2 linked regions of the Arabidopsis thaliana genome follow. The protein of the gene in region 1 interacts with the protein of each later gene in a biochemical or structural test. Each region holds a gene or a part of one and is shown on either strand. Other genes may lie near its edges.

Region 1 (16,232 bases):
TATTTCAGTTTGGAAAAAATGTACTAATTAGTTGGAACCAATTGAGTTTTAGAGAAATATTGAAGAAACAAAAAAAAAATCAAGAGAAAAAGGATAAAGGAGAGATGTTCCCTAACAACACTACAAATTACAATTTCCTCACTTTCTTATTTTCTTACTGCCTCCGCCTCCTCTCTGTCCCCTCTTTTCTTCCATTATTTTCATTTGCATCTTCTCTTTATTTCTTTGCAACTTTAATCTTATGATATGTAAATTGTAAATATACTCATTTTTTTCTATATTGAATAAAAAAACTTTTGTTAGAAAAAGATACACATATACGATATTTCCTCAAAAATAATATGAAGTACTGATTTTGGCAGTCATTATAGAATTGCATTTTATTGGAAAGATACACACATAGTTCAAGTACTTTATATATGCGCTAATTTTGAGAACTCCACTTTACTGCGTCGTGGTTGCTTGTCAGTCAAAACTTGGGCTTGCTTTTAAGATGCGTGATTGCATTTGCATGTCTCGTGGCTTTCTTTTTCTGTAGCCCCTCTTGTTGGACTAATCATAGCCTTTTGTTTCCTCCCTTTGCTTTAACATTACTGAAATTATCGGATTGTTTCTTTCATTTGTTGATTGGATGTATGTTTACATTATTACATGTGTATTCATTGTTATAATATACAAGTTTTAAAACATTACTTCCCCTACCAAATAATTTCAAATATATATATATATATATATATATATTCATGAAGCATTTTTTATTTTATTTTGGTTTAATGAAGCATTAAATTTTGAACTTGCTTATGTTACTTTTATGATATTGGAAGAAGTCGAATTATTTCTTCGTTGATATCGTATATAAAATTTAAAACTCATAGAATTTCTATTCAAAAAGTAATTGGTGATTAAATGAATGGAGTGCCTATATATGTATTTTTTTTTTCTTGCAATCAATTTTGATTTAGAATTTGCATGCATGATATTTTTTTAATATTTTTTTATCCTTTAATAATTTTTTTTTATATTATCTAAAGTTGTATTTGTATTCCTTACATAAAGTTTGGTTACTTTCATCTCTAAGGTAAACTGCTAATATTAAAGAAAGTAATTTAATGGAAGCAAAAAGTGTTAAAATATGTAATATAATTTGAATGGAAGAGTAGCCCCCGAGGGCAATCAAGTGGAGGTCTTCCATGGTTAGGATGCAGAAGCTTAATACGTTTATATAGATAGATAAACAATAGCCTCCATAAAGTAAAAGATACTTGCATGCGTGCGTGTAGGTATTGAGTCGAGATGTTACGTGCGTGTCTTTTTATAGATACTATATATTATTGGTTCTTCTAAATCCTTAAAAATGTTAAGATTACGCACGCAATTCATGAATTGTATATAGATTTACCAAATCTTGAATTGATTTTAAATTTCTTACAAAGCAAATACACTGGTAGTGTGACATTTTGTCCCTGTGGATTCTGTATGACGTAATCTCGTTCCTCACATTATGACACTTAATCGAGTGTTTTTTTTTCCCTATCATTTTTTTTGTAAATTTATCCTCTACAAATTATGTATGTTTGTGAACTATTAAATACGATGTTGATATATATATATATATATATATAAACTATATAATAAATAAGTGAATTATTTTACGAGTATGGATCATAAATAAAACATGGAATAACAATAGAATGTTTGTTAAATAGAACTCAAATTAATGATCAGTTATGTACAGTCCGGCCTTAGGCCCAGGCACTACCCACTTGGGCCGGGCCTGGTTATGTAGCATATATATAAACGCTAGTCACCGGGATAGTTGGACTTGGATGGCTCTAGCCTGACCCGTCAAAGTTTAACGGAAACTTGACATATGCAAAGACCGTCTCCGTTTGAACTTTGAAGCGATTGAAATTTTTTGAGAGGCGAATTAAGGCGCCAAAATTTTGAGAATGATAAGTAGATTACGACACATGTACTCACCTCAATCTGACGGTTACGATGCAATGTAAATACGAAGAAATCTCAGGGTTAAAATCGTCCAAATGTTCGGCGTCGTGTATACGCAATTCAGCTACAGACAGTGTTTGTTACACACCATTTTGAGAAATCTAAATTTTCATTTTCCCCCGCTTCTCTCCTAGAAATTTCGAATTTCTGCTTCTCTCTCTCTCTATCAGTTTTCTCAGATCTTATTCCAGTTAATATTCCGGCGATCTTCTTTCTCTCTTTGATCACTTAATTCTTCACCGGAATCAGAGAGTCAGGGCTTTCGCACTTGTACCCGCGAGCTTTGATTAGGTAATTTCTTAGCCAATGATACCATCGCTCGATTTTCTCTGTTTTCGTTTTCGATTCATGGCTCGTTACTCTCATATTCAGTGATAAGTCGTCGCGATCTATGCCCCCTTTCGTTAAATTGGTGTTATCGTCTCGATTTTGAGTTTAGTACCAGCGTTATAGTGTTGTCTTTGCATAATCGGAGAGTTTTGGTATGAAATTCGTTGCTAGAGATATCACATCTCGCTAGTTGTTCATCGTTTCAAGCATCTATTATCTGCTGCTTCTCTTGTTTTCGTCATATTATCCAGATCTAGCACCTTCTTATTTTGGGATTTTCTATTACCAAATTTTTTATCCGAGTGTTAGAAATTTACCATTCCTAATGATTAATTTATCATCCATTATCGCTGAATATAGCCTGCGTTGTACTGCTTTACTTCTCTGTTTGTGTTGCTATTCAGAAATTATATGAGTGATTAGGTGTTCGTTGATATTTACATTCTTTTTCCCAGCAGAATTGTTAACCTTGTGGTGATACATTTCAGGAAAAGATGAGCGACTATAGAAGCTTCGGCAGTAACTACCATCCATCAAGTCAATCTAGAAAGATTTCTATAGGAGTTATGGCTGATTCACAACCGAAAAGGAATCTTGTGCCAGATAAGGATGATGGAGATGTTATTGCTAGAGTAGAAAAGTTGAAATCAGCCACCGTAACTGAATTACAGGCGAACAAGAAAGAGAAAAGTGATTTAGCTGCCAAGCAAAGGAATTCAGCTCAGGTCACAGGACATGTGACCTCACCTTGGAGGTCTCCGAGATCGTCTCATCGGAAATTAGGGACTCTTGAGAGTGTTCTTTGTAAGCAAACATCTAGTTTGTCTGGTAGCAAAGGATTAAACAAGGGACTTAATGGAGCACATCAGACACCAGCTCGTGAATCATTTCAAAACTGTCCCATTTCGAGTCCTCAGCACAGTCTTGGTGAGCTGAATGGTGGCAGGAACGATAGAGTGATGGATAGGAGTCCAGAGAGGATGGAAGAACCTCCATCTGCAGTCTTGCAGCAAAAGGTTGCCTCACAGAGAGAGAAGATGGATAAGCCAGGGAAGGAGACAAATGGAACTACTGATGTTTTGAGATCAAAACTGTGGGAGATATTGGGAAAAGCTTCACCAGCAAATAATGAAGATGTGAACTCTGAGACCCCAGAAGTTGAGAAGACCAACTTCAAGTTGAGTCAAGACAAGGGTTCAAATGATGATCCTCTTATTAAGCCTAGACACAATTCAGATTCTATCGAAACTGATTCTGAAAGCCCTGAAAATGCTACCAGAAGGCCAGTAACCAGATCTTTGTTGCAGAGGAGGGTAGGAGCCAAAGGTGTCCAGAAGAAAACCAAAGCTGGTGCCAACTTAGGTCGCAAGTGCACAGAACAAGTAAATAGTGTATTTTCTTTTGAGGAAGGTTTGCGCGGAAAAATTGGCACTGCTGTGAATTCCAGTGTTATGCCAAAGAAACAAAGGGGTAGAAGAAAAAACACTGTTGTAAAATGCCGTAAGGCTCATTCTCGAAAAAAGGATGAAGCTGATTGGAGTCGGAAGGAGGCGAGCAAGAGCAATACTCCACCACGTTCTGAAAGCACAGAAACTGGCAAAAGATCTTCATCTTCAGACAAAAAGGGAAGTTCCCATGACCTTCATCCACAGAGCAAAGCCCGGAAACAGAAACCAGATATTAGCACAAGGGAAGGAGATTTTCATCCATCGCCAGAAGCTGAGGCAGCAGCTCTGCCAGAGATGTCCCAGGGATTATCTAAAAATGGCGATAAACATGAACGGCCGAGTAATATTTTCAGGGAAAAGTCTGTTGAGCCAGAAAACGAATTCCAGAGTCCAACCTTTGGATATAAAGCACCAATCTCAAGTCCTTCCCCATGTTGTTCTCCAGAAGCATCTCCTTTGCAACCTAGGAATATTAGTCCCACATTAGATGAGACGGAAACACCAATATTTAGCTTCGGTACTAAGAAAACCTCTCAAGGGACAACAGGCCAAGCGTCAGATACAGAAAAGAGATTGCCTGTAACCTTCATAAACTGAAGCGGCTTTATCTATACTTAAGTTGCATATTGACTTTATATACTCCTCTTTGACTTTTGTGTTTACTTATTTATTTTCAGGATTTCTTGGAGAAGAAAAGAGATTATTCTTTCAGAAGAGAAAGTTCTCCTGAGCCAAATGAAGATTTAGTTCTGTCTGATCCGTCGTCTGATGAGCGAGACTCAGATGGTTCAAGAGAAGATTCACCAGTGTTAGGCCATAACATCAGTATGCTTCTTAATTCTTATCCTAGACCATATAAAAACTGGAGGATCTTATTTTCTTCTTAACAGAATCCATGTTTTGCTTATTCTATTGATCTTCTGATTCAGGCCCCGAAGAAAGAGAAACTGCCAATTGGACTAATGAGAGATCTATGTTAGGCCCTAGCTCAGTTAAACGGAACTCTAACCTTAAGGGCATTGGACGTGTCGTGTTAAGTCCTCCCTCCCCTTTGTCAAAAGGTATAATGCTCATTTGTATGTCACTGTTGTGGGTTTATATACTGCACCCTCATTTGTTTTGTCCTGGAAACTGAGCAGGGATCGATAAAACTGATTCCTTCCAGCATTGTTCAGAGATGGATGAGGATGAAGATGAAGGCTTGGGAAGGTCTCTTGTAGATATAACTAATATTACGTGTCTATCTTTAATCTTTGTTCCTGTCTTAAGTTGATTATTTACCATGTCTCAGGGCTGTTGCATTGTTCGCTATGGCTCTTCAAAACTTTGAGAGAAAACTGAAATCTGCAGCTGAAAAGAAGTCCTCAGAAATTATAGCATCAGTCTCCGAGGAGATACATCTGGAGTTGGAGAATATCAAGTCCCATATCATAACAGAAGCGTATGTTTGTATAATTTATTCTGCATTCTTTCTTTTAAATTATCAATCAAAGATCTTGTTAATTATGGTACAGGGGAAAGACAAGTAACCTAGCCAAAACTAAGAGAAAGCATGCCGAAACAAGATTACAAGGTACATCAACACATTATATCTTAATAGTTAATACTGTACTCGAATTCACAGTCATGAACATTAAGAAAGCTTAGAAGTTCAAATATACTATCTTTGCAGTTTAATCCTGATTCAAGGTAGTAGATCGGAAATTTGATATCAAGTATTACTCTTTAGATTGCATTTAGTCTTGAAGTACTCACCATCTTGCTTCATTCTTGTGCTTTCATGTCTCTTTGATTAGACACACACACACACCTAACTATACTTTCGGCTCTAACATAGACATGAAACTTGCATTTAACATAGTTATATCAAGACAAAGCTAAATGCTCAATTCATTCCTATGTGGAGAATAATAAAAAATTGAGCTGTGTATTGTTGTGGAACATGAGAGTCTGGAAATGTCTCCATATTTCCACTCATTGAATAAAAATATGCAAGATCCGTTCTGATCTATTGTGTTCACTGATAATATCTAATCGTCTAACAGAGCAAGAAGAGAAAATGAGAATGATCCATGAAAAGTTCAAGGACGATGTCAGCCATCATCTTGAAGATTTTAAGAGTACTATCGAAGAGCTTGAAGCAAACCAGTCAGAGCTGAAAGGAAGCATAAAGAAGCAAAGTATGTTAACTTCTGTAATTCCTGCTTTTACTACAACGAATTCTAACACTAGAAATACTTGAAACATATGATGTTATCAAAGTTAGATTCTTCATGGCAAGATAGTTTTAATATAATAATAGCAGGAGGACAAGTATTTCCTAAACTCACTTGATAACTTTTTATCTCTCTATGACAGGAACATCACACCAAAAACTCATTGCACATTTTGAAGGAGGCATCGAGACAAAACTGGACGATGCGACCAAAAGAATCGATTCTGTAAACAAGGCAAGTCATTGTTCTGCTTCTTAAGAGTCAGATTCTAAAAATGGTTAAATCATGAATTCAAAAGCACAACTTAAAAATGACGTATTGGTTTACAGTCTGCGAGAGGAAAGATGCTGCAGCTGAAGATGATTGTCGCAGAATGTTTGAGGGATGATTGACACTGAGTCTCACAGAATCAATCAACCACACGTACGTCGTTATTCTCCATTTTAAAACATAAACTAGACGAACTGTGTTAACCAGGAAAGAAAAACCTCTCAAGCAAAACCAGCCTTTGGTTTAGTGGTCTCATGAGTTCAGGCGAATAAAGAAGATATAGTAGATGATGCTTTGACTCATTGTCATTGATTCGTATTCGTATAGAATAGTTTATTGTTCACTGAACCACTACAAAACTACTTATATCATAGAGCCTTATTTTATATAGCAGTTTGAAGGTTTCTTTTTAATTTATTTTTGCCAGCAACTGCAGATATTTTTTATTAAACCAACAACTTTTAATTAGGTTATTGATATCTTGATATATATCGAAGCAAAACCAATCCAAACATTTTTCTTTTAAAAACCAGAATATTTTGCAGACGTTGATGTGAATTTTAATTACAATATTTTACTTTAACAGAGATGTATTTCATATTGAATATCAAAACCAAACTGAACAAAGAATGGTCACAATTCGATATCAATCGAATGAAACAGAAAATAAAATGTTGGACCCAACAATTTTACTGTGATGATAAAAACATGGTAGAGATAATTTTGTTTGTAAATAGAGAGATCTCAAATCACAGAGGATTCTTTTTTTACGGTCGGTAAAAGAATTTAGAATGTGTCGAGAGGGTAAAAATGGAGAAGACGACAAGATAGTAGCAGTCGTTAGAAACAAACAAGAAAGAAGGGAGGGAGACAAAATAACACAAAGGGGTGGATGAATCACGCGGCATTCACGTGAAGTGCACGTGAACTTGGCCAAAAAAAGCCTAATTGTGGGTCCCATTTAAAGAGAAAACTAAAGCCTTTAAGAAAGGGCCCATCCATATATGTCTTAATAATGGCGTGAAGGTTCTTTCCGCTCACGTGGGCCTTTTGTGCCCGTCTCTCTCGCATGTCACTCACTACAGTTTTACTAGTGTTTTGTTTTATTTTTGATAACAACATTATTGATTTTTTTTCGGTCTACCTAAGTTTTGACCTTTCTTTTTTAATTGTGAACAATTGAACATGCGTATTACTTATTGATAATACTTTTATCTTCAATAAAAAAAATAACACACGAACATAATATAGAAATAGTGTGTTCCAATACTGGAGATTATTTAGTAAGTTCAGTTGGACGCTTTGTCATTGCATAGTTTGGAATTTATTCCTAAACTTTCTAAGAACACGTTCTTATAGGAATTTGCATGACGAAAAAATCAATACTAGTTGCATTATTGTTGGAGCATCATCGGGAGTGATTTTTTTTGTGTTTTCCTATTTACTACATTGTGTTTTCCTGACCTTTTAAATAAAAAGGAAATACACAAAACCATATATAAATATATGTATATATATATCTGACTGTGCTCAAGTAAAATTCACGGATCAGACGTTAAAAAAATGATCATGCTTAATATTTTCTCATTTTAGATGAAGACAAAAAAAAAAAAAAGGAATTGCAATCGTAGATTTGACTTTATTTTTATTTAATTTTTCTATTCTTTTTCCGAAAGCAGAGAAAAATGGAGCGGTGGAGAGTAGAGAAGTCGGTCATAAGAATGTCTCTCTCTCTATTTCTTTGTCTTTCACTATCGCCCATACATTATCTTGCTTCTTTCATTTATTCCATCAATATTTTTGTTTTAAAATGAAAGATTTACACATTAACATGAATACTTATACTACTCTTTATCGCGTATATATAGTATAGTCTATGTTATTATGAATTTATGATTATATTTTTTCTATAAAACGTGCGAAAACTCATTTCACATATACAAACAAATATATACGTTTTGTATTAAAAAAAAGCAACTGTAAATTTTATAAATCTGAAATGTAACATTTGAAGTCGACCAAAGTTTGTAAGGTAATAATTTGTACTAATTCTCCATACTGTGTCATAATCACGATTCAAGGATAAATATATGAGTTGTGGACCAAAACAAATCCTCCATATCAATCAATCATAAATGAAATAAGCGAATATACATATATACAACCGACTATATATATATATATATGCTGCTCTTCATTAACCCCAAGAAAGAAAACCAAAGTGTGAAGTCCGAATCTCTCTGATTCTACAATTCACAAAAACCGGAAAAAAAAAAAGACAAGTAAAGAAAGCTTTGTTCAGTTTACTTCAATGGAAGCAAAACCCTTAGCATCATCATCATCTGAACCAAACATGATTTCTCCATCATCAAACATTAAACCAAAGTAAGTTTATTATGGTTTCATCTACACTTTTTGCGACTTCTATAAACATATACACATGCGTGGTTTTGAAATAATGGGCGCTTATGGTTCTGTCGGTGCTTGAAACAATTTTGTCTTCTCCTGACTATTTTTTTTTTGTTAATAGGTTATTTATACGTGACTCTTTTCTTGCAGATTAAAAGATGAAGATTATATGGAGCTGGTGTGTGAAAATGGGCAGATTCTTGCAAAGATTCGAAGACCAAAGAACAACGGTTCTTTTCAAAAGCAACGTAGGCAATCTCTCCTGGATTTGTATGAGACCGAGTACAGCGAGGGTTTCAAGAAAAACATCAAGATTCTTGGAGACACACAAGTTGTTCCGGTGAGTCAGTCTAAGCCACAACAAGATAAAGAAACCAATGAACAAATGAACAACAATAAGAAGAAGCTAAAGTCCTCCAAAATCGAATTTGAGAGAAATGTTTCGAAAAGCAACAAATGTGTTGAATCATCAACATTAATTGATGTTTCTGCTAAAGGTCCAAAGAATGTTGAAGTTACTACAGCTCCTCCTGATGAGCAATCTGCAGCTGTTGGTAGATCCACGGAATTGTATTTTGCTTCTTCATCGAAGTTTTCTCGAGGAACTTCGAGAGATCTAAGTTGTTGTTCTTTAAAGAGGAAGTATGGAGATATTGAAGAAGAAGAATCAACCTATTTAAGTAATGTAAGAGAAATTAATTAGCTGCTTGTCTTAGTTCTTTCACATGGTAGATCATTAATTGTCTTTTTCTTATTGCTTATGCAGAATTCAGATGATGAATCAGATGATGCGAAGACACAAGTTCATGCGAGAACAAGAAAGCCGGTGACTAAAAGAAAACGAAGCACAGAAGTCCATAAGTTATATGAAAGAGTGAGTTTATATGTATGAAAATTTCACCTTAGTTAGTAGAAAAAAAATAATGTATGAAAATTAATGCTAATTAAGGATTTGTTAACAGAAACGAAGAGATGAATTCAACAAGAAAATGCGTGCTTTGCAGGACCTACTACCAAATTGTTACAAGGTTTGAGATTAACTTAAATCACATTACATTGTTTACTTAGTCTTAGAGAGTTAATTAATTTTCTCTTTGTGGAGATTTCTGAATATCTGTAATTGTTGATGATAGGATGATAAGGCTTCATTGTTGGATGAGGCTATCAAATATATGCGGACCCTTCAACTTCAAGTTCAGGTATTCAAAATAATACACCAATTCAATAAAATTTCATTGAGAGATAATAAAATGATTCAGGTGTTAATTATTTAAACACAGACTTGTGTTTATATTTACATATAAATTTGTTTTTTAACATTAAAATATACTTTGTAAAGTGTTTTTGTTATCAAATATTATTGCGTTTGGCTTTTACCTTTACGAATGATTCTTGATAAAGTCACTAGAAACTAGTTTCATAAGAGAAACCAAAACAAATTATAAACGTAATTAAACACTAATCAATAAACAATCAAAAGTTTATTCCTTATTTATTTTACTACAAATTTTTTTACATATATATAAGATTCTTAATTAACATGCTCTAATAATTATTTACAGATGATGAGTATGGGAAATGGATTAATAAGACCACCTACGATGTTGCCAATGGGTCATTACTCTCCCATGGGTCTAGGAATGCATATGGGTGCAGCAGCAACACCAACATCAATACCGCAATTCCTGCCTATGAATGTTCAAGCAACCGGTTTTCCGGGGATGAACAATGCACCACCACAAATGCTAAGCTTTCTTAATCACCCAAGTGGACTAATTCCAAACACTCCTATCTTTTCTCCATTGGAAAATTGCTCTCAGCCATTCGTGGTGCCTTCGTGTGTTTCTCAGACTCAGGCTACTTCTTTTACTCAATTCCCAAAGTCTGCGTCCGCCTCAAACTTAGAAGATGCAATGCAATATAGAGGAAGCAACGGTTTTAGTTATTATCGCTCGCCAAACTAATGATTTGTAGAAAGTTGATGTTTTCTCCAACTAACTAACTTTAAGCAAAAAAAAATGATCGTCTACTCTGTGTTGTTAGTCTATGGGCTTTTGGGCCTTGATTCTTGGAACGATTTGAACTTAATTCCAACTATTTTCAAAGTGGATGTACAAAGTAAAATATAACAAATATAAGTTATCATAGACTCTATAACAAAGTTATAAGTAGAGGACGTGCAATTGCATAATGATGGATGATGATGAGTGTTCAATTACGATAAACCGATTTTAACGCAAACCCAACTAAGATGAAGACAACTCATTTGACCTAAATCGTAATTTGAAACGAATTTTGCCATGTTTTTGGGATTAAGGAACAATCTCAATGATGAGATTGAGTAAAGTACTACAAAACTTGGGCTTGATGGGCTTTTTAGTGGACTAATATCTACTTTATTCTTTCTTTTTTCAAACATTAAAAAATTAATTGGGCTTTTTCAAACACGAAAACAAGGGAGTGCAATAGTGTGATGAAGATGAGACTCACACATTGAATTTCTGATATTTTAGCGTCAGGTGCGTTGAAAACTTGAAATCAATGTGAAGATTCTCTTTTAAAAATAGATGACTCTTATTTCATGAGTTAACATGATACTTAAAGAAAGTGGATAGTTAAGTCTAAACCAATTCTTTTAGTATAGAAATAAAATTTCAACCACTTCCTTTAAATATGAAACCATGCAAAAGTAGATAACAAACGAAAAAGTGTTTCATTTTAAGATTCGATGTCACGATCCATCACATTGCACCGTTGGTTGATAAATATCTCTCATCTTTGTTTATTTATTTTCACAATGTTGTACTTCTATTTCTATAACATTTTCGTTTGAATTCAAATACCAAATTAACTCTCCAAACAATTAGTTCATCAAGTATTTTGTTCACAATGATATGTTAACAACAAATCATTGATTCATTGTCCATGCCGGATTATTTTAAAGATACAGAAACAGTAAACCTAAGATACAATGAATGCTAAAACTAAATTATTCTCCCAAAAGGATTACTTAGCTTTCATGAGTAATTTTATATTTTTCTTTTATCCACTCATTTTTTATATACTTTCTATAATTGTCTTATTACGTAACAAATATGTGCTATAGGCATATTTAGAATCTACTCTATCATCATACCATATATAAGACACATTTTACTTTATTAATTACTTTTTGTTTGTTCTCAAATTGAAAATAAACAGACGTGTTTGTGCTAACTTCATGTAGTGTTTAGATAGTGTTTCATTCACTGGCCATAGACTTATTTTACAAAGTTATATGTGCATGTCATTATATAGTGTAGAACTTAAAACACCTAACCAAGAACAACAATACACACACACAAACATAAGGAAAAAAAAACTTTTCCATGGGGCTCGTAATTTTCTTGGCACTAATTGTCTTAATCCTTATTATTGGTCTCAGGATATTCAAAGCTTTTATGATTCTTGTTTGGCATCCATTTGTGTTGACCAGAAGACTCAAAAACCAAGGAATCTCAGGCCCAAATTACAGAATCTTTTACGGAAACCTCAGCGAGATAAAGAAGATGAAGAGAGAATCTCATCTTTCGATTCTTGATCCTAGCTCCAATGATATTTTCCCTCGTATTCTTCCTCATTATCAAAAATGGATGTCTCAATACGGTGTCGTTTTCTCCAACTCTCTCTTTGTTCATCTTTTATTTTAGATTTTATTCGAGGATAATGCGTAACACACAAGTTATCTATGTTATATATTATTAGGAGAGACTTTTCTTTACTGGAACGGAACAGAGCCAAGGATATGCATCTCAGATCCTGAACTTGCAAAAACTATGTTGTCGAACAAGTTAGGTTTCTTTGTCAAATCAAAGGCAAGACCTGAGGCTGTTAAACTTGTCGGCTCCAAAGGACTTGTCTTTATCGAAGGTGCTGATTGGGTTCGCCATAGAAGAATCTTGAACCCTGCTTTCTCCATCGATAGGCTCAAGGTATTTTAATCCTTCTTTCTTAGCTTGACTTGAGAAATTAAACATTAGAGCCGAATAACTTAATTTTGGTTGTAAATTTCTCATTTTGTTGATCAGATCATGACGACCGTGATGGTTGATTGTACGCTCAAGATGTTAGAGGAGTGGAGAAAAGAGAGCACTAAGGAAGAAACAGAGCACCCGAAGATTAAAAAGGAAATGAACGAAGAGTTCCAAAGACTAACAGCTGATATAATAGCAACCTCTGCGTTTGGAAGCAGTTACGTCGAAGGAATCGAAGTGTTTAGATCACAAATGGAGCTTAAAAGGTGTTATACAACTTCTCTCAACCAAGTCTCTATCCCTGGAACTCAGTAAGTTAATCATTCTCCTACTTTCAGTTCTCAAACAAGATTCTTAGGTTTTGACATATATTGGTCTTGTTTCTTGTATTCTAAGGTACCTTCCTACGCCTTCGAACATTCGGGTATGGAAGCTGGAGAGGAAAATGGATAACTCAATTAAGAGAATTATAAGTTCGAGACTACAGTCAAAGTCAGATTATGGAGACGATCTTCTCGGAATCTTGTTGAAAGCTTACAACACTGAAGGGAAGGAACGGAAGATGAGCATCGAAGAGATCATACATGAATGCAGGACTTTCTTCTTCGGAGGTCACGAAACTACTTCGAATTTATTGGCATGGACAACGATGTTGCTGAGCTTGCACCAAGATTGGCAGGAGAAACTCAGAGAAGAGATATTCAAAGAATGCGGTAAAGAAAAAACCCCAGATTCAGAAACTTTCTCCAAACTCAAGCTGGTAATGTTCATTTTTTTCAAAGGGTCTCTTGTGAGACAATGTTTCTTGCGGTTGAAGAAACCTGTTTATTTCTTGCAGATGAACATGGTGATCATGGAGTCGCTTCGACTTTACGGACCAGTGTCAGCTTTGGCCCGAGAAGCATCAGTAAATATAAAGTTAGGTGACCTAGAGATTCCCAAGGGCACAACCGTAGTCATCCCGCTTCTGAAGATGCATAGCGACAAGACCCTTTGGGGATCCGACGCCGACAAATTCAACCCAATGCGGTTTGCAAACGGCGTTTCCCGAGCCGCCAATCACCCAAACGCTCTCCTAGCATTCTCCGTCGGACCAAGAGCTTGCATTGGCCAAAACTTTGTCATGATCGAAGCCAAGACTGTGCTCACCATGATTCTTCAACGGTTTCGGTTTATTAGCCTCTGTGACGAGTATAAGCACACCCCTGTGGATAACGTCACTATTCAGCCTCAGTACGGCTTACCCGTAATGCTTCAGCCTCTGGAAGACTGAAGTAAAATGCCCAAATAAATCGGATGTCTTAATGAATATACCTCACGTGTGTGACAAGTCTCCTCCATATAGGCCGGCTTATTGCTGATGGTGGGGGCTTAACAAATCATCCTTGTTAAGTTATTGGGCTTTTACTATCTCAGTTTGGAACCCTTGATGGGCTAAATAGTTATTAATAATTTAATATATTGTGACATTGCATGTATAATTGAAAAGTGGAAGGAAGTGTGTAACGGTTATGAATTCAAAAGCCAGGCTAAAGCAACTTGAAAACATGAGTAATCGACAATTCAGAAATTATAGGAATCTCGAACCTCCTTTCGTTCAGAAAAAGACAGTCCAAAATGTTAATAAGTTATAACAATATAAATTGTCCTCTATGACTTCAAAATATTTTATTACAGAAATGGCAAAATGCCAAACGAAAAATCTGGATCGCTGTTTACATTATTTGTGGTTGCCTTGTGAGACGATCACGTGAACTTTAGCTTTTACACGATTTTCTACGTGTGTCATATATCCCAAGAAACAACATCTACAACTTCTGTTTCTAACTTGTAACGTGTAAGCAAGCTACAAGAAGATAAAGATTACTTCCATAAGCAATGACGGCATCTGTTATAATCGATGCTGTTAAAAGACTGTCCCCACACCTCCATTAGCGATAGGCGATTTTAGAATCCGAAGTTTCCTTTATTGTCCGTTACGTTGTCTTACTTTCTTTCCCATGTAAAATAAATTCCCATTACTCCTATGTTATTTTGTTCGGTTAGAATTTTATTCATTATATCTTCAAAACAGCTTGTGCTTATATCAGAAACAGAAGTCACGACGACCCTCACACTACACACGACACATAAAATTGAAAGCCCCACTGCGAATCCACCACAAAGCAAAAAAAATTTGTTTGTTATTCGAATGGAGCTCCTGAGCACGATCAATCTCTTAGCAATAGCTCTAGTGCTTCTTGTAGTTCCGAAGATATATGGAGCTTGTCGGATCCTTGTTTGGCGGCCATGGATGCTATCGAGAAGATTCAAGAAGCAAGGAATCTCTGGTCCAAAATACAGGATCTTGTATGGGAACCTCCGAGAGATTAGGAAGATGAAGAACGAAGCTAAGCTTATGGTTCTTGATCCAAACTCCAACGATATCGTCCCTCGCGTCTTACCTCATCTTCAGCAATGGAAGTCTCAATATGGTGCCGTTTTAGTTCTCCATCTTCTTTGATCTTTCCTTTTCTTAAGTTTTTTGTTTCACTAGACAAAGATGCCTAACTAACACGTTAGCAATGGTATTTCTTTAGGAGAGACCTTTCTTTACTGGCAAGGAACAGATCCAAGGTTGTGCATCTCAGATCATGAGCTCGCGAAACAGATCTTATCGAACAAGTTTGTTTTTTTTTCTAAATCAAAGACAAAACCTGAGATCCTTAAACTTTCTGGTAATGGACTTATCTTCGTAAATGGTCTTGATTGGGTTCGTCACAGACGAATCTTAAACCCTGCATTCTCTATGGACAAACTCAAGGTTCTTTAAAATCATTCCTTCTTATATCTAATTAGTTGACAGTAGAAGATAGCACTTTGTTAACATTTCCTAAATTTCTTCAGCTCATGACCCAATTGATGGTGGATTGCACTTTTAGAATGTTCCTTGAGTGGAAAAAACAGAGGAATGGTGTAGAAACAGAGCAATTTGTGTTGATTAGCAGAGAGTTTAAGAGATTGACCGCTGATATCATAGCGACGGCTGCGTTTGGAAGCAGTTATGCGGAAGGAATTGAAGTATTTAAATCACAATTAGAGCTCCAAAAGTGTTGTGCTGCTGCTCTTACTGACCTCTATTTCCCTGGAATCCAGTAAGTTTCAGTATAATCACTCTTTTGTTTTTAAACTTCGTTCTTGTTTTAGTGATTTGAAAATTGGTTTTATTTCTTGTATCCCAAGGTACCTTCCTACGCCTTCGAATCTTCAAATATGGAAGCTTGATATGAAAGTGAATAGCTCGATCAAAAGAATCATAGATGCGAGGTTAACATCGGAATCCAAAGATTACGGAAACGATCTTCTGGGAATCATGTTAACAGCTGCAAGCTCTAACGAGTCTGAGAAAAAGATGAGCATTGATGAGATCATAGAAGAATGCAAGACGTTCTTCTTCGCAGGACACGAAACTACTGCGAATCTATTGACATGGAGTACAATGTTGCTTAGCTTGCACCAAGATTGGCAAGAGAAACTCAGAGAAGAAGTTTTCAATGAAT
Region 2 (14,602 bases), 5.0 Mb from region 1:
TCTTCATAAGAGTGAAACATCATCAGTCAAAAGACCGATACGTGTCATTAAACATAATTAACTAAACTCTTTATCTTTCATTCCAAAAGTTAATGATACATTTATTATTGTACTATTTTACTATATGTTATTAGTTTTATCATGCTATGTTTGAGGTTTTTTCGTTAATTTTTTTGTAGTTTTAACTTAAAATATGAATAGAATGATAGTATATCTAGCTAATAGTTTGAATATGTTATTTTCTTTAATTTTTATCAATACAAAATACATTTAGAGAGTAATGAGTACATAAGAGGAACTACATCATCAAGTTATATATAAAATTAGTTTAGGATAAAAATGATTTCAAGAGTGTATGAGTGATACATTGTTGGGAAAGTTGCTAGAAAATTTGTTTCGATACTTGGTGATACGTTAGTTTCAATTACATGAATGAATGATTAGAAAACTAAAAATTTACATTTATCAAAATATGACACTAAATAAAATAAAATACATTTTGAAAAAAGCGTGGGTAATCTTTGTTTGTTTTTTGAATATCTGAAAATTTCAATCCCAAAAGCCTTTTCTAGAGGCGGGACTCACACCAAATTAAATTCATCTCATTAAAAGAATAAATCATTTCCAACGGACGTTGAATTTATCGGCTGAGAGATTTACCATTAGGCCAACACCGGATTGGGATAATCACCTAGTAGAAATGAATATGCAAAAAAAAAAAAAATTGGTAATCCTTCCAAATTAATTTGCAAATGAAAATTTAGAACCATGTTTAGTTCTCTATAGAACAAACTGTTCTACAAATGTTTAGATTGCAATAAATCCATCAAGATCTTATTAACAAATGAGGAGAAAGAAACAGTATAATATTAGTTAGCGAGTGTATTCGCAAAAGTCCAAGTTTTTGTAAGAATATAATTGTCATCAATCAATTGTTGTCACACCAAGCATAACAGAAACTTACAACATAACATAAAACAAAAGCAAAACTAGGGTTGATCAATGATCATGAGGTGAAGGCGCCGGCGAGTGAATCGGAGTCATCGGAAAGAGAGAGAGAAGTCGAGGCTCCGTATCCCTCGGAGTTGTCGACGGTGACGGGCGCAAATAAAACCCTTTCTCCTTGATCGATCTTTCTTGGTCATCATCGAAGCTCGGTTTCGAATCACTAGGGCTCTGACTAAAAGACCCCGGTCGATAAAACGGATCAGACATGAGAGGAGTGTCAGGGCTGAGATCGAGAGCCGGAAAATTCAAGATGGTGGGAGTGAGAATCTCGGGTGGCCCGGAATGGGTCGGGTTGATGTTGAGATAATGCTTCATCGAGTTGCGACGTTCGGAGAGTCGGAAGGACGAAGATTGTTTCTTGTTGGTCACGGCTTTGATCGGAGGGATTGAGTGAAAAGGAGGAAATCTCGGGTCGGGTTGGTGGGTCGGGTTCTTGGGGATTCCGGTGAGCAGTTGGACGACTTGCTTGAAGGAAGAAGGATCGGTTCGGATGAAAGTGGTTTCATACATGTCGTCTTTAACGTATCTGGTCGGTGTAGTGGTGCAGCTGCTTGGTGAAGGAAGCAAGTTCTTTGCTTTATCTCTGTATCTTGGTGATTTCTCCATTGATTGAGAAGAGAAGTTCAATGGATGTATATTTATGTTTTACAAGCAATATAATCTCTTGTTATATAAGATCAGAAAAAAAAAATTTAGTTCAACATTATATGAACGTGTTTATGGTAAGAAAGTTAATTAATTTTTTTGGCATAAAATAGTATAACTCTTTTATTTAGATTTTGCATATATTTAATTTTATTATTTGGAAAGAAATTTGTTCTTTTGGATTGGCTTGGTGAGAAATGTACAAGTGGTACATACATATTGACCTTCCCATTAGGGTAAATATGACTAGCTATTTGTAGAATTGTAATCTCATGTCACGCGCCACTGTCAGAGTTAGGAACTGCCAACGTTTGTTGGTGTGTGGACCTGTTGACTTGTGATTTTCATAGTAATGAGATTATTAGTCAACATATTTTTAGTCAACGCATTTACCTTCTCAAAATTTTCAAAAGAGTATCTAACCATAGATATGGGATTATATTAGTCAATACATTATTAGTCAACACATTGATTTCACAAAATCTTGTTTTTGACCACAAAATCTTTGTGAAGATAATACTGCAGATACATTCAAAAACTTCCCATAATTCAAAATATGATAAATGTGCGTTATTAGTTATTACACAAAAATTCAAATATGAGTCATCTGTGTTGGATTTAGGCATTTAGCTTATTAAAAACTTTTCTTTCCAAACTCATTGTGTTTTGTGTATCGTTCACGGAGTAATTATGAAGAAACTAGAGAAGTTTTGAAGCACTAAACAAAGCTAAACATCAAAATATTTCTTTTTCTTTTAATGATAGAAGGTACCCAAGCTAATCTCTAACCATAAAAGAAGATGTTTATTGATATCAAAATCAATCATTATTAACCATAGAACGACAAGACGATAATGACCACCATTACATGGTTGAAACATCAAATTTTTAACAGCTAGACATTTCATAATGCAAGATGTTCCATCAAGCACAAGATCATACCACTCGACCTTTCCCCATATTTCTCCTCCTTCGCGCCTTTCGAGGGCAATCTCTGCACACCAAATTTCTGTTGTCTCGCTCATTTTCTCTATTTTATGCAAAAACACAACTAATTTTCTACCATAACTTGTTGTGAATGATCGTGGACCGTCCAAACGTAGTTTTAATTCCACACCGTTCACCACTTCCCAAATCCTCTCTTTCGGGTCATACGCTCTTATACAATTCATGTGATTATCATAGTAGTACAATACATCGTCTATAACACATGAACTAGCTAGACCATTTTTCAGAGTGCAACTAAAAATATAAATATGTAGGAACAAGTTAATCCAATGAGATCTTATTATGGAATGAAGTCTTGGGTAAGTAATTTGTTATTGGGTGATTTTGAACGATTGTAAAGTGTTATTAAGTTATACCAACCCATCTATTTACCATGTTTTTGCCAAAAGATATATGTGTTGTCAAAAATATATAGATTATGTAAGTTTAACAAAGTCAATAAACTTTATATATTTTGCCAAGTTGCCTAATTAATTTTGATTCATCTTTCAATTGAAGATATATAATGATGATAAATGATAGGAGATCTACTAAATTTTAACTGATCTTACAGAAAGTTTTTTCCTAAAATCAATTATACAATAATGACAAACTTACGTACAAAGATGACTGTTCGTACTCGTAGGTCGAAATCATAGATAACATTTTTATATATGGCATCAGAGGTTTCGTACAAAATGAACAAATGTACAGTATAATTATGAAAGAAAATTATTGTACTAGTTGCTCAACACTTGTCAATACTTGTTCTGATATGATGGTGTTGGAGATAAATTTGGTCATTTCGATTCCTAATGAATTAATATATAGGCTAATATATCAACGGTTGTGTTCATTAACATCCACATAACATATTCAGAGTCTCTTTTATTTAGCAAACTATTTTTTTCTTTTTTCTTTTGGGGTCACGAAGATAAGGAATTAACAAGAAAAACCTAATATGTAAACGTCACCACTTTTTATTTAAGAAGCAAATTAGAAAGATTAACACTACCAGAAAAGCCCATACAAAGAAACCAAGCTGATACATATTCAACACAATCATTGATTAATAAAAGTTTAAGTAGCTCTTATAACACCATCTCATTTGGGGCAGGTAGGTTCGAATGCGAATGGACCAACGTTGTACACACTGTACTTGAACCATCTCATGATGGTCGAGGAAAATCCTGGTTTCAAGACCGGCTTTAGAACGGAGCCCTTGCCTCCATCGTGGAGTGACGACACTTTGCTGCACTTGGTGTCTGGAGACTTCACGAGGAAAGCTCGACAACCTTTGATATCGTAGTTGGTCACCGTCTTAGGGGCCAGGAGCATGAAGTATCCGTTCTTGTCCGTCTTTGTCTCCGATATTGAGTTCTTCTTGTTCTTGCACACAAGTCTCACCACCGCATCTGTATCCCCAGATAACACAAACGAAATAAAAAGTGAAAATATAGTACTTGGATAGATTTGTTATACAGAAATTGTTTTAAAATAATGCAAGAGCATGTATTTGTTTAGATTAGTTATGGTAAATTTACCCTCTTTTTTTAAGAAGGGGCATGACTTGAACAAGATTTTCTTACTAGTTGAGCTAAATTTGGTATTATAGGAAACTTGGGGAAAACAATGACAAGGCTTCGCTACAGTAGATTGTCTTAACCAAAAACCTATTGATTATAATTAAATTAAATTCAAAAGCATTGAAAGAAGTTACTTAGTTTTCCATGGTATATTTTATGTTTATCAATTCGTGAAGGGACCAGAATGATACGACCGGCTCTGAACTAATCTCGCTTGGTAGCATATAGTTAAAAGTTTACACAAAAAGTTTTGAACAACCGACAATGAGATTATGATACATATAACATATGCCTAAAATAAATGTAAAGGATGAAGTATGCATGCAGCATACCTTTAGCAAAAAAAAAGTATGAATGCATGGGATTGAAGTGTGGACTTTTCACATACGGACATACCACGGTCCACAGGTGCGTATATTAAGGGTTCGAGTGATTTTTAGGATAATATATAGACTTTCATATCATGAATGTATATAAGTGAGTACCTTTAACGGGTTTAGCGCCTTGGACGTTGTTGACGCCCGCGTACTTGCAAGCTTTGCAGTAGACCACACCTCTAACTGCCACTAGGGTCTTGTTGTACTTAGGAGGGTAAACTGGTGGGAGAACAGGAGGTTTGATCGGTGGGAGAGTTGGTAACTTAATCGGAGCTTTGGCTGGTGGGAGAGTTGGTAGCTTGATCGGAGCTTTGGCTGGTGGGTAGGCTGGTAGTTTGATGGGAGCTTTGGCCGGTGGAAGAGTTGGTAGTTTGATTGGAGGTAGGGGAAGGTGTTGGGGAAGGCTATGGAAGGGATCTGATGAACCAGGTTGATTCACTCCTAAGGTGAAAACAGAGGAAGTGAAGCACAAAAGTGCAAAGAGAGTTAGAGAAACACTCTTACCAATGATTCCCATCTTTGTTCTTTTGTTTTTCTTTGTGTGTGTGACTTTGGGTTGATGTGACTTGGGTGTATTTATAGGAGATATCGGGCTACAATTTTTTATACTTCATATAGATACTAGAGAGTAGAGGCATACACAGCACATGTACACAACTGGCGAGAAGTTTCCGATCGATGTAGTCCCGTTAAAGATTTAGATTTAGATCTCCTAACAGGTTTGAATACTTGAAGCAAGAAACTCGATATTGATTTGTAGTACAGTCACTTCCCGGGTTTTTTTAATAGAATAAATGAAAACTTCGTCAACCTACCTGAAGTTTATTTTTTCTGATGAAAAGATAATAATTAACGAATGCATCACAGCTGAATTCAATACAGTGTTTAGTCATATATATGTTAATATTCAACAAATTAATGTTATGATTTGAAAGTTTTATGAGAAAATTATAGTCATGTATATGTGAATTTCTTATAGTTTGTGAATTTAATGAGAGTTAGTAAAAAAAAATATAGATATAATTTTACAAATTCTATTGGACAATATGTAAATTTACAGTGTAACTTTCAATGCAAATATCTGGGATATAGATAGTATTAGTGCATGAGTTTTCATTCATGTTCCATGTTTTGTGGTCCTTAACATGGGCATGGCAACAAGATGCGCCTGGTGCGGCTTCAACACATTACAACACATTTAAAAGTTCAATTAATATCCACACTTCTGTTTCTATTTATTTGGGTTTCCAATTTGATTAAATTAGCAAAACGGTGCCTATAAAATTATTCTTAGATCAGGATAAGATAAAATACGTTAAAAAGTCAACTAGATTTTAATGAAACTGGTAAAACAATGCCCGTGTAATTATTCTTAAATCAGGAAAATAACTATTAAAAATTGATGTTAATTAATAGTGGAAACTCTTTTGGTCTAGTGTTTTACAAAAAAGATTTATACTTTCATCGTTTCACGTCATGCATAAGATTTCATTTCCTAAACTATACAATGCCTTGGAGATTATAAGTGCAATTCTTTTGGAGGTTCTGAATAAAGCTATGTGAGATCAAATACTTTTTGAAAAATTCCAAGCTTCGCAAACGTATGGTATAGCGTCACATGTAATATTTAGAGTGTTGAACCACAGAACTTTGATAAAACGTTAAATGGTACGGTGATATGTATTTAGTTTTTAGGATTGGTATTAACCTAAACCAAAAAAATAAAAATAAAGCGTGAAGATATACATAAACGTAAACACAATGGCCTTAAGCTTTGAGAGAAGAGGTAAGACAGATATACGCTAGAGTAAACCATAAACTAGGCCTAGGGGTGAAAGTTTCTAACTTTCTATACTTCAATGATCAATCTCAAGATAACAATGAGATCGACATGCAATAATTTGAGTTAATTTGGGTTTGAGTTGAAGGAAGTTTTCATACGCATTTTTAAGCCATGAGGCCCAATGATGTTTTGACAAAAAAATAGAGGCCCATGATGTATCAAGTCTCATATTTCATTTGGGTTAAAAATTGATGTAAATAGAAGTAACAGTGACTTTTGTTACCCACAATTTGAAGAATTATATGCATAGAATAATTTTTTATTTTTATAATAGTAATTATGTTAGCCATAACTTAAAGAAGAAAAAAAAATCAAAAAAGAAAACGAAAATAGTGAGAGTACGTGATCAGCTACGACGGCATCCACAATACGTAAGTGGGCTATATATTATTGTGAAGTGTGAAGTCTTCTAACAAACAAACAGAATTTCAAAATTCAAATTCAAATCCAAATCACACGAGCGAGAGAGAGCAGATAATCGCCACTCGCCAGAGCTATTGATTTCGCTTCATCGAATCTCACACTCTCTAAGTTTCGTCTGCAATGTCGTCTACCAGAAGAGGCACTAAGAGAACTCGGCCAGAGCCGCCGCAATCGCTCAAGAAGCCAACACCGAAAGCAAAACTCCCGGACGAATTGGATGTCGATGTTTCTAGGTCCGTTCTCGTGTTTTCTTTTGCTTCGTCTTCTTCTTTTTCTTCGTTTCTTCTGTTTTTTTGCTGAAATGTGACTCGCGATTGTGTTTCCGTGTTGATCGTGTAGCGATTTCAAAGGAATCATGTCGGCGTTGCAGCAATTCAGAGAGAAAGCGCACGAAGATGGCCGTAAGAAGAAGGAAGAAAGCATTTCCAGGTCATATATCTCTCCGTTACATGTTTCTCTCTGATTAGGTTATGTAAACTTCGATTTCATCATTCACTATGCAGTTATCGAGATATTCATGTCGATCGCTCATGTGCATTTGTTGATGGAGCGTTTCTTCTAATTGTTATCGTTGGTACATGAATTAGATCTGGATCTTGTATCGCAAATCAATTTATCAAGTAGATATAGCTAGATGAAGCTAAGGTGTTTGATCATTTGTTCTAGCATTTGATATTGGTTGATCTGTTGTGAAATTGGTTATGGTATGCTCATGTATCGCTTAAACTAGAAAGCATATATATGTTCGATTGATAGATATCAAGCTCTTTTATATGTGGATTAGTCTGGATCTTGTATCGCAAACCAAATATCAACTAGTTTTAGCTAGATAAAGTGTTCGATCATTTGTTCTAGCCTTTTTGATATTGGTTGATCTGTTGTGAAAGTGGTTGTGGTATGCTCTTGAATTTCATAATCTATAAAGCAAATGTTTGATTGATAGATATGAAGCTCGTTTAGTTTCATAGATACAGAATGATCAGTCTTTTGTTCATCAGCTCTGAAGCACTCAGCTATCTATTGTGCAACTGGTTTTGGTATTGCTCTTTGTCTCCCTTAAACTAGAAAGCAAATGGTTGATTGATAGATATGAAGCTCGTTTGATTTCTTAGATACAGAACGTTTAGATGTTCAGACTTTTGATTTTGATACTCAACTCTGAAGCAATCGGTTGATTTGTATCACTACTTGGTATCTAGTAGCATGGTTTTGTCATTTATTGTTCCAGAAAGATAGAATCATCTGAGGATTGTGAGTATCCTGCTTTTGAAGTGTCGTTTGTTTTATATTTGAATCTTTCTTTAATCCTTGTGTATCTTTCTGGCAGTGTGTCCACTGAGGTGAAGTCAAAGATTGACGAGCTGAAGTCAAAACTTGAGAAAGAAAGGTAGGCTATGTTGTTGAGGATAGATGTCTGATATTCAATTACATGCTTTGTGAATGTTGGTTTGCAAGATTCTGATGAATTGTGTCCTTGACTTACAAAATGCAGACAAAACTTTTCCAAAGCACTTTCAAAGAGTTCAAAGGAGGTCTGAACAAACATCCTAAGACGATGTTCAACTTAATTTAGCCTTTAGAAATGTACAAGGATCTGACCTGATCCATTTTTGCAGTGTGAGAATATTTTGAAGGATGAAGCTGCCAAGTTTGAGGAGCTTCATAAGAAATTCGTGAAAGACAAAGCTGATCATCTACAAGGCTTGAAAGGTATTCTGGTTTTGTCATCTCTTACTGTTGGGCGTCAAAAGTGTAGATTTCTTTCATTAGCTAATTGGGATGTTACCAAAAGTATTGAACATGTGTTTCTGCTTTACAGACACTATTTCAAAGTTTGAGGAGGACAAGGAGAGGCTCTACATGCGATATGAGCAGCTAAGTAAGCAAACCAACCCCTTATAATGACACCACTGTTATGAGAAGATGGCAAAACTTACTCACTTCCACCTGTAAATAACATATAGGGAAGAAGGAGAAGACAATGATAACGGAACAGGAGAAGTTCTGCACTGAAAAGCTTGCTCAATTGGAAGAGTCACTGAAGAAAAAGAAACGGGTAAATTAAAGCCTGTTTGATCTTGTTATACATACTCTCTCTTTAATCTTGTTATATGACTGAACTATGAATTCTCTGGGTGTAGGGTGACAAAACTTTCAGCATACTGAGGAAAACTCTCGGCTCTTTTCTGGAAAACGAGGCTTCTGATGAGGAATTCCCACCTGATGAGTGAAAGATTAACGTCTTTTTCACTTGACGCTAGAAAGGTAAAAAGCCCTTTTACTTTGATCAGCCACCCCAGACATTTCTTTCAAGTTTTCTTTCCCAGCAGAAAACACACTTATCTCAAGTAGTGTTTCAAGACTTTGAATACTATGAATATGAACCTTATTTTCTTCTATGTTATAGTTTGAAATGAAAGATTAATTACATTTTAGCTGGCTTCACCACAAGTTAGCTAACAATTATATTCACCACAACTCTGATTCATAAAGAGCTTCAATTATTGATTATGGATATATAGTTGTAGTTAAAGCTTATCAACCGCTCCTCCAGCAATCACACTTGTACATGGTGAAGCTGGTCTAAGCATCACCTTGGCTGCTCCATAATCACCCTCTTATCTATAAAACAAAACCAAACAAACCCATCTAATTCATAACTAAAACATTCAGGAACATAAACCCTCCCAAATTGCTCCCGAAGTTTTAGCTCCAAAGCCTATCAACCAACTGATTCTTCTAAACATTTGTGAACAATGCAAACATCAGTTTCATAAGACCATATAAACCAATTGAATGTTGAACTATTCATAAGAGTTCAATTTGGATAAACTAATTTATTGTTTTTTGATTAAATATGAAACCGACCCTTAATCTATAGCTAACATAAACTTCATTTTCCTAGGACCAAAGACGGAATACGAAACGCAAAAGTCAAGTGTAGTTTGGTTACCATCTCCGAAATCTAAAACCTAAACCGAAACCCAAAATTCAACTAGAAGGAAATGTGAATCTCACAAGAACTGGATTTGGAACTTAGATGAACGTATGGGCAGAGCAAGAAGGTGATTAATGAGTTGCTGTTTCTTGTTATCATCATCAGCATCAATTTCGACTTTCATCACTTGAAGAAACCGCATTTCCCGCAAAAAGCACGTCACTTGTCTGAGCTCTCTATCACGTCCTCTATACCCATATATCTCCAACACCTTCACTTCATTTCGATCAATGAAGACTCCCTGATTACTTACACAGTGCAAGCCCATCACAAAGAGATCACCATTCATACAGAGTTAGGATTGTACGTAATACTTGACGCGGAAGCATGTGGATTAGTTAACTGCGTATATATTAAGTTTGGATTTAGACACCTTGAGCACAAAAGTTTCTAGCTTTGTAGTGAAACGTGAGTCTCTTGAGGGTTTTGTGGGATATAGAGTATACTTTGCTTTCTATACGTTGTCATCTAAGTGTTGGATAATTAACTGACCATGAAAGTGTTGTAAGGATAATTCCTCAAGTATTGGACAACAACAAAGCATTTTATGGCACAAGTCTTCGCATGTATACCAAGTTGAATGGAGAAGGAGACTCTTTTGCACTGAAAGAAACACTTGTGGTAATTATGATATTCGATCTGGACCATGATCTTAATTTTCGAATTTGTCAAAGACTGTAAGTACTAAATTGGGCTTGATGGGCTCTTCATTGGACTAACATAAATGTCTCGGACAAGTGTATGTGTTCTTCCTTGTACATTTTCACCTGCAACCTTATCAGCCATAGCTATAGCATTCTGAAATAGAATCGGTCAATGTGAACTTTTATGGGAGAAGAAAGGATTTACTATTTCAAAATAAACATATTTTCTCATGAATTACATCATTACAAGAAATCTCAACAAAAGAGGATGAAAATGTTAAAGCGAAGATGAGTTTTCACTTCCAGAGTTCTTCCATGGGGATTCCACGCTCTTGTGCAACATCGCGGAACTGTCTCATCTGTTGTACTGCTGCAAGAGTGGCTCTCGCATTGTTGAGAGCATTGTTGCTTCCAAGCTGTTTCCCCAATGCATTCTCGACTCCTGCCATCTCTAGCACAATCCTAACCGCTCCTCCAGCAATCACACCAGTACCTGGTGAAGCAGGTCTAAGCATCACCTTGGCTGCTCCATAATCACCCTCTGATCTATAATACAAAAACCAAACAAAACCCTCTTAAAACATAACTTAAACCCATCTCCAATTGTTCCAAAACATAGCTCAGTGGCCTATTAACCAACCGATTCTTCTAATTGATTGTGCACAACACAAAGATCAATCTCATAAAACCAGCATTCTGAGTAACAACTTCCATAAATCAATCCTTAAACCAAGCAAATCATCACATCCAACACAATGCTAAAAAGACTAAACCCCACAATCTTAGCTCATTGTCTACTGATTAACAAAAACCGATTCTTCTAATCATTAGGGCATTATTCAATATTTTAACTTTTGTGCACAATGCAAACATCAGTTTCGTAAAACAAGTACCATAACACCAATCTGTAAACCAAACAAACCCATCACAAATCCAACACATGACTGCACAATACTAATCCCAAAATCTTAGTTCATCACCAAGTAAGACTTTTACCATCCAAAACCAATTCTTCCAACAATTAACACACATTACAAACATCAAGTCCAAAACTTTGATTACCTGTGAGGGAAAGTAGAATACTTAGTCATAGGAACTTGAACAATGTTTCTCCTAGCATCAATAGCAGATTTCTGAACAGCAGCAACAACTTCTTTAGCCTTAGCACAACCAACACCAACATTCCCTTGTTTATCACCAACAACAACGATAGCTCTAAACTTCAATTGCTTCCCTCCTTTAACAACCTTAGTCACTCTCCTAACTTGCACAACTCTCTCTTCAAACCCATCTCTAATCTTATCTTTCTTTGGCTTCCCACCAATACCTGAACTCTTCTTATGCTTTGAGTCCATCACATAAATATCTTTCCCAAGCATACTCTCACCACTATACGCAGGTCCATAGAGCTCTTCAAAAGCGGTAGCGATCTCTTCCTCTGTCTCGTCGCTTCCTTCGTCGAAATACGGAGGAGAGACGAATCCTTCGGGAGCAATTGGTGGGTCGAAGACGACATTTGCGGTTATTTCTGGTGTTTCGTCTTCGAAGAAGATGGTTTCGGTATCGGTCGATGAGGCTTTGACGAGAGTGAGAGATGAGAAGCGGCGGTTGAGGAAGGAGGAGAAAGAGACGATGGATTTTGTGGAGGAAGAGGAGATGAGAGAAGAGGTTCGGGTGTGGAGTGAGAGTGAAGAGAGTGATGAGAGAGCTGATGCTGTCGCCATTGAAATGGAGGAGCTTTTTTGGATGAGGAAGGAAGTGAGAATGAAGCAAAAGGCTTATCCAGCACCAGATCGTAAAAACTGTAAAGATAATTGTGTTGGGGCTTTTAAAGTAATTATCAAGTTTCTTTACAAATTGGCCACAATATATTTTATAATAACATTTGAACCCTCATATCCTTTTGTTTGAATTTGGGCTCTTCGCTCACTCCTCCCTCTTTGTGGCCCAATGAAGTTTCTTCAAGCCCATACAAAAGTAACTAGTAGTAATCCACATCAAACCCTATAGGCTTGCGGATACATCTTAGGTTTACTAAATCTTAAAATAGAAAAGATCAGTGACCATATGCTAATTCAACATTTTATTTTTACATACTTTGGTCATTTTTAATATGGACTTTGTTTTAATTAAGATCGATTATACTAACTACAATCGCATATGACACCAACGAGCAACGTTAATTGCTTTTATGATTTTAAAAGTATGTGATTTGCAAACTAATTAAAAGGTGACCATATATAAAAGAGTGTACTACAAAAAGGGCCTACTACTATTCAATTAACGTTGCTCGTTAGTGTCACGTGGGGAAGTTAAGGTTCCCACTTCCCCCACCACTTCTCTCAGTTCTCTTCTTCTTTTTATTGTCCCATTCCAAATTTTAACCAACACATCAAGCAAACTTCATTAATTTATGTTCAGTGTTGTAGTTGCAAACGTTATTTATTATTTTACGTTTACAAGTTTAGAACTAGTTCGAATCGTGATAATCTTGAATAAATCATAACTTTGTTCATCTAATCATAAGAACATAGAACTTTGACATGGTGTCTCCGGATCTTGTTGACTTAGTTCTATCTTAAAGTTAAGCTACACATATTATAGGGACCCCATATTATAGTACCCAAACAAACAATTAGAGAGTTTGTATGCAAATCCATAATATTTACCGTAGAATTGTATGGGTTTAATGAGGAAAGAAAAAGAAAAGAAAAAGAAAAGAAGAGAAGGACACTGAAGGAGAATGTGATGCTGCTGAATAAAAGATACAATCAAAAAATTGACAGGCAGTACAATAATGATAAGTAGTGTCATGACAGCTGACGACTCTACTGCCCAATCTTGACGTTATTTATTTTTGTCCATTTTTTCTTAAGATATTATTTCAACTTAAAAGAAGTAGAAAATAAACCATAAGTGCATAACAATATTCCTTTTATAAATTGGGTTCAAGATATTGATTCGATTCTGTTTATTTCAAGTGTCGTGGAACTCAATTTTATGTTATGCCTGCCTCGGCAACAAAGATTTTCGTTCAAGTGGCTCTATGAAAATAAGTTAGGGCAAACTAGATCGATTGATGTAAACACAAATAGAGCTAAATAGTGGAGATAGTAAACTGGTGATTTTGTTTCGTAAATAGTCAAAAGGAGGGGGTGACAAAAAATAGATTTGTCCCTTACCTCTAAGAGATATAGAGCAAAACGTTTGCATAGCGCTGTACCATTTCCTTCTATATTTTATATATGTGGATGTGCATGGATCTAGCTGATGACATAACACGGCAAAATCATTTAACATTTGATTAGCATTGGCATCAATATTTGACGACGCTCCTCATTATTTATATATGTGGATGTGCTGATGTGCATGAATCTAGCTGATGACATAACCTAGTATATGTGCATGGTTTTATGGTGTGAACAAGTTTTTTTTTTTTCTTTTCTTGGTTTTAGGTGTGAACTTTAAGTTAGAGATGATCTTCAAATCTCACGAACCACAAACCTCCTTGCACGTTAAGAATAGCCTCTCTTTTTTTCTTTTGTTGCTTCTAGTCTCAGAGTGTCTTCGAGATATGTGTAGTCTTTAGTGTACCCTGAGACCTGAGTACAAGATCGAAAAGAAAATATCTCGAATAACAGAGTTGTGTTTGCTGTTTTTACCATTTAATTATGCTAATATCTTTGTTTTACATAATACCAATTGAAAAATGAATACATAATTCAAGTTTGGACCATTCTTGTATATCCACTTTTGGCTTCGTGGCCCCGATAGCTAATTTGATTGACCTTATCATCTACACCAAACAAGAAATTAAATTGTCAAATTAATTTAGTGGTGGCCCTATACTATAAAATCGTAAACACTTCTTTTTGAAACTAAATATAAACCTTACGACACATTTATGTGCAAATTAGTGGACATATTCCTCAGTAATAACGTTTTTACAAACCTACAGTTGGATAAATTATTGAGTCACTCCATGATTAAACCAACAACATAAGAGAAAAATAAAATAGTACACTACGAATGATCTTTTAAATATGTTATTCTTTTTTGATACAGAAACTTTAACTACCAAAAAAAAAAAG

The links.
Region 2: the proteins of ASY3 (region 1) and AT2G33793 form a complex in vitro, tested with the Arabidopsis thaliana proteins (one study listed by BioGRID).

What each region holds. Positions count from the first base shown.
Region 1 is NC_003071.7:19,290,029-19,306,260, reverse strand, and holds ASY3 (asynaptic protein), read left to right. Parts: upstream 1-1,989; 5' UTR 1,990-2,298; intron 2,299-2,801; exon of another isoform or gene 2,802-2,825; 5' UTR 2,826-2,831; coding exon 2,832-4,364; coding exon of another isoform or gene 4,365-4,382; exon of another isoform or gene 4,383-4,394; intron 4,395-4,462; coding exon 4,463-4,610; intron 4,611-4,714; coding exon 4,715-4,846; intron 4,847-4,924; coding exon 4,925-4,994; intron 4,995-5,076; coding exon 5,077-5,226; intron 5,227-5,299; coding exon 5,300-5,358; coding exon of another isoform or gene 5,359-5,432; exon of another isoform or gene 5,433-5,830; coding exon 5,831-5,965; coding exon of another isoform or gene 5,966-6,027; exon of another isoform or gene 6,028-6,143; coding exon 6,144-6,235; coding exon of another isoform or gene 6,236-6,259; exon of another isoform or gene 6,260-6,330; coding exon 6,331-6,393; 3' UTR 6,394-6,769; downstream 6,770-16,232. Other genes in the region: PIL1 (phytochrome interacting factor 3-like 1), read left to right, coding at 8,583-8,656, 8,831-9,365, 9,447-9,554, 9,643-9,708, 9,814-9,879, 10,243-10,644; CYP709B1 (cytochrome P450, family 709, subfamily B, polypeptide 1), read left to right, coding at 12,049-12,325, 12,425-12,651, 12,748-13,004, 13,090-13,453, 13,532-13,966; CYP709B2 (cytochrome P450, family 709, subfamily B, polypeptide 2), read left to right, coding at 14,720-15,167, 15,273-15,496, 15,580-15,827, 15,916-16,232. UniProt on the Arabidopsis thaliana protein: Required for normal meiosis in male and female gametophytes. Acts with ASY1 at the interface between the developing chromosome axes and the recombination machinery to ensure interhomolog recombination.
Region 2 is NC_003071.7:14,290,118-14,304,719, forward strand, and holds AT2G33793 (DNA ligase-like protein), read left to right. Parts: upstream 1-6,876; 5' UTR 6,877-6,989; coding exon 6,990-7,102; intron 7,103-7,179; exon of another isoform or gene 7,180-7,208; coding exon 7,209-7,298; intron 7,299-8,196; coding exon 8,197-8,256; intron 8,257-8,361; coding exon 8,362-8,401; intron 8,402-8,485; coding exon 8,486-8,579; intron 8,580-8,688; coding exon 8,689-8,748; intron 8,749-8,833; coding exon 8,834-8,925; intron 8,926-9,010; coding exon 9,011-9,100; 3' UTR 9,101-9,134; exon of another isoform or gene 9,135-9,410; intron 9,411-9,591; coding exon of another isoform or gene 9,592-9,673; intron 9,674-9,774; 3' UTR 9,775-9,887; coding exon of another isoform or gene 9,888-10,135; 3' UTR 10,136-10,460; downstream 10,461-14,602. Other genes in the region: AT2G33780 (VQ motif-containing protein), read right to left, coding at 1,000-1,614; AGP30 (arabinogalactan protein 30), read right to left, coding at 3,745-4,055, 4,712-5,120; AT2G33796 (FBD-like domain family protein), read right to left, coding at 9,592-9,673, 9,888-10,135; EMB3113 (Ribosomal protein S5 family protein), read right to left, coding at 10,808-11,057, 11,574-12,235.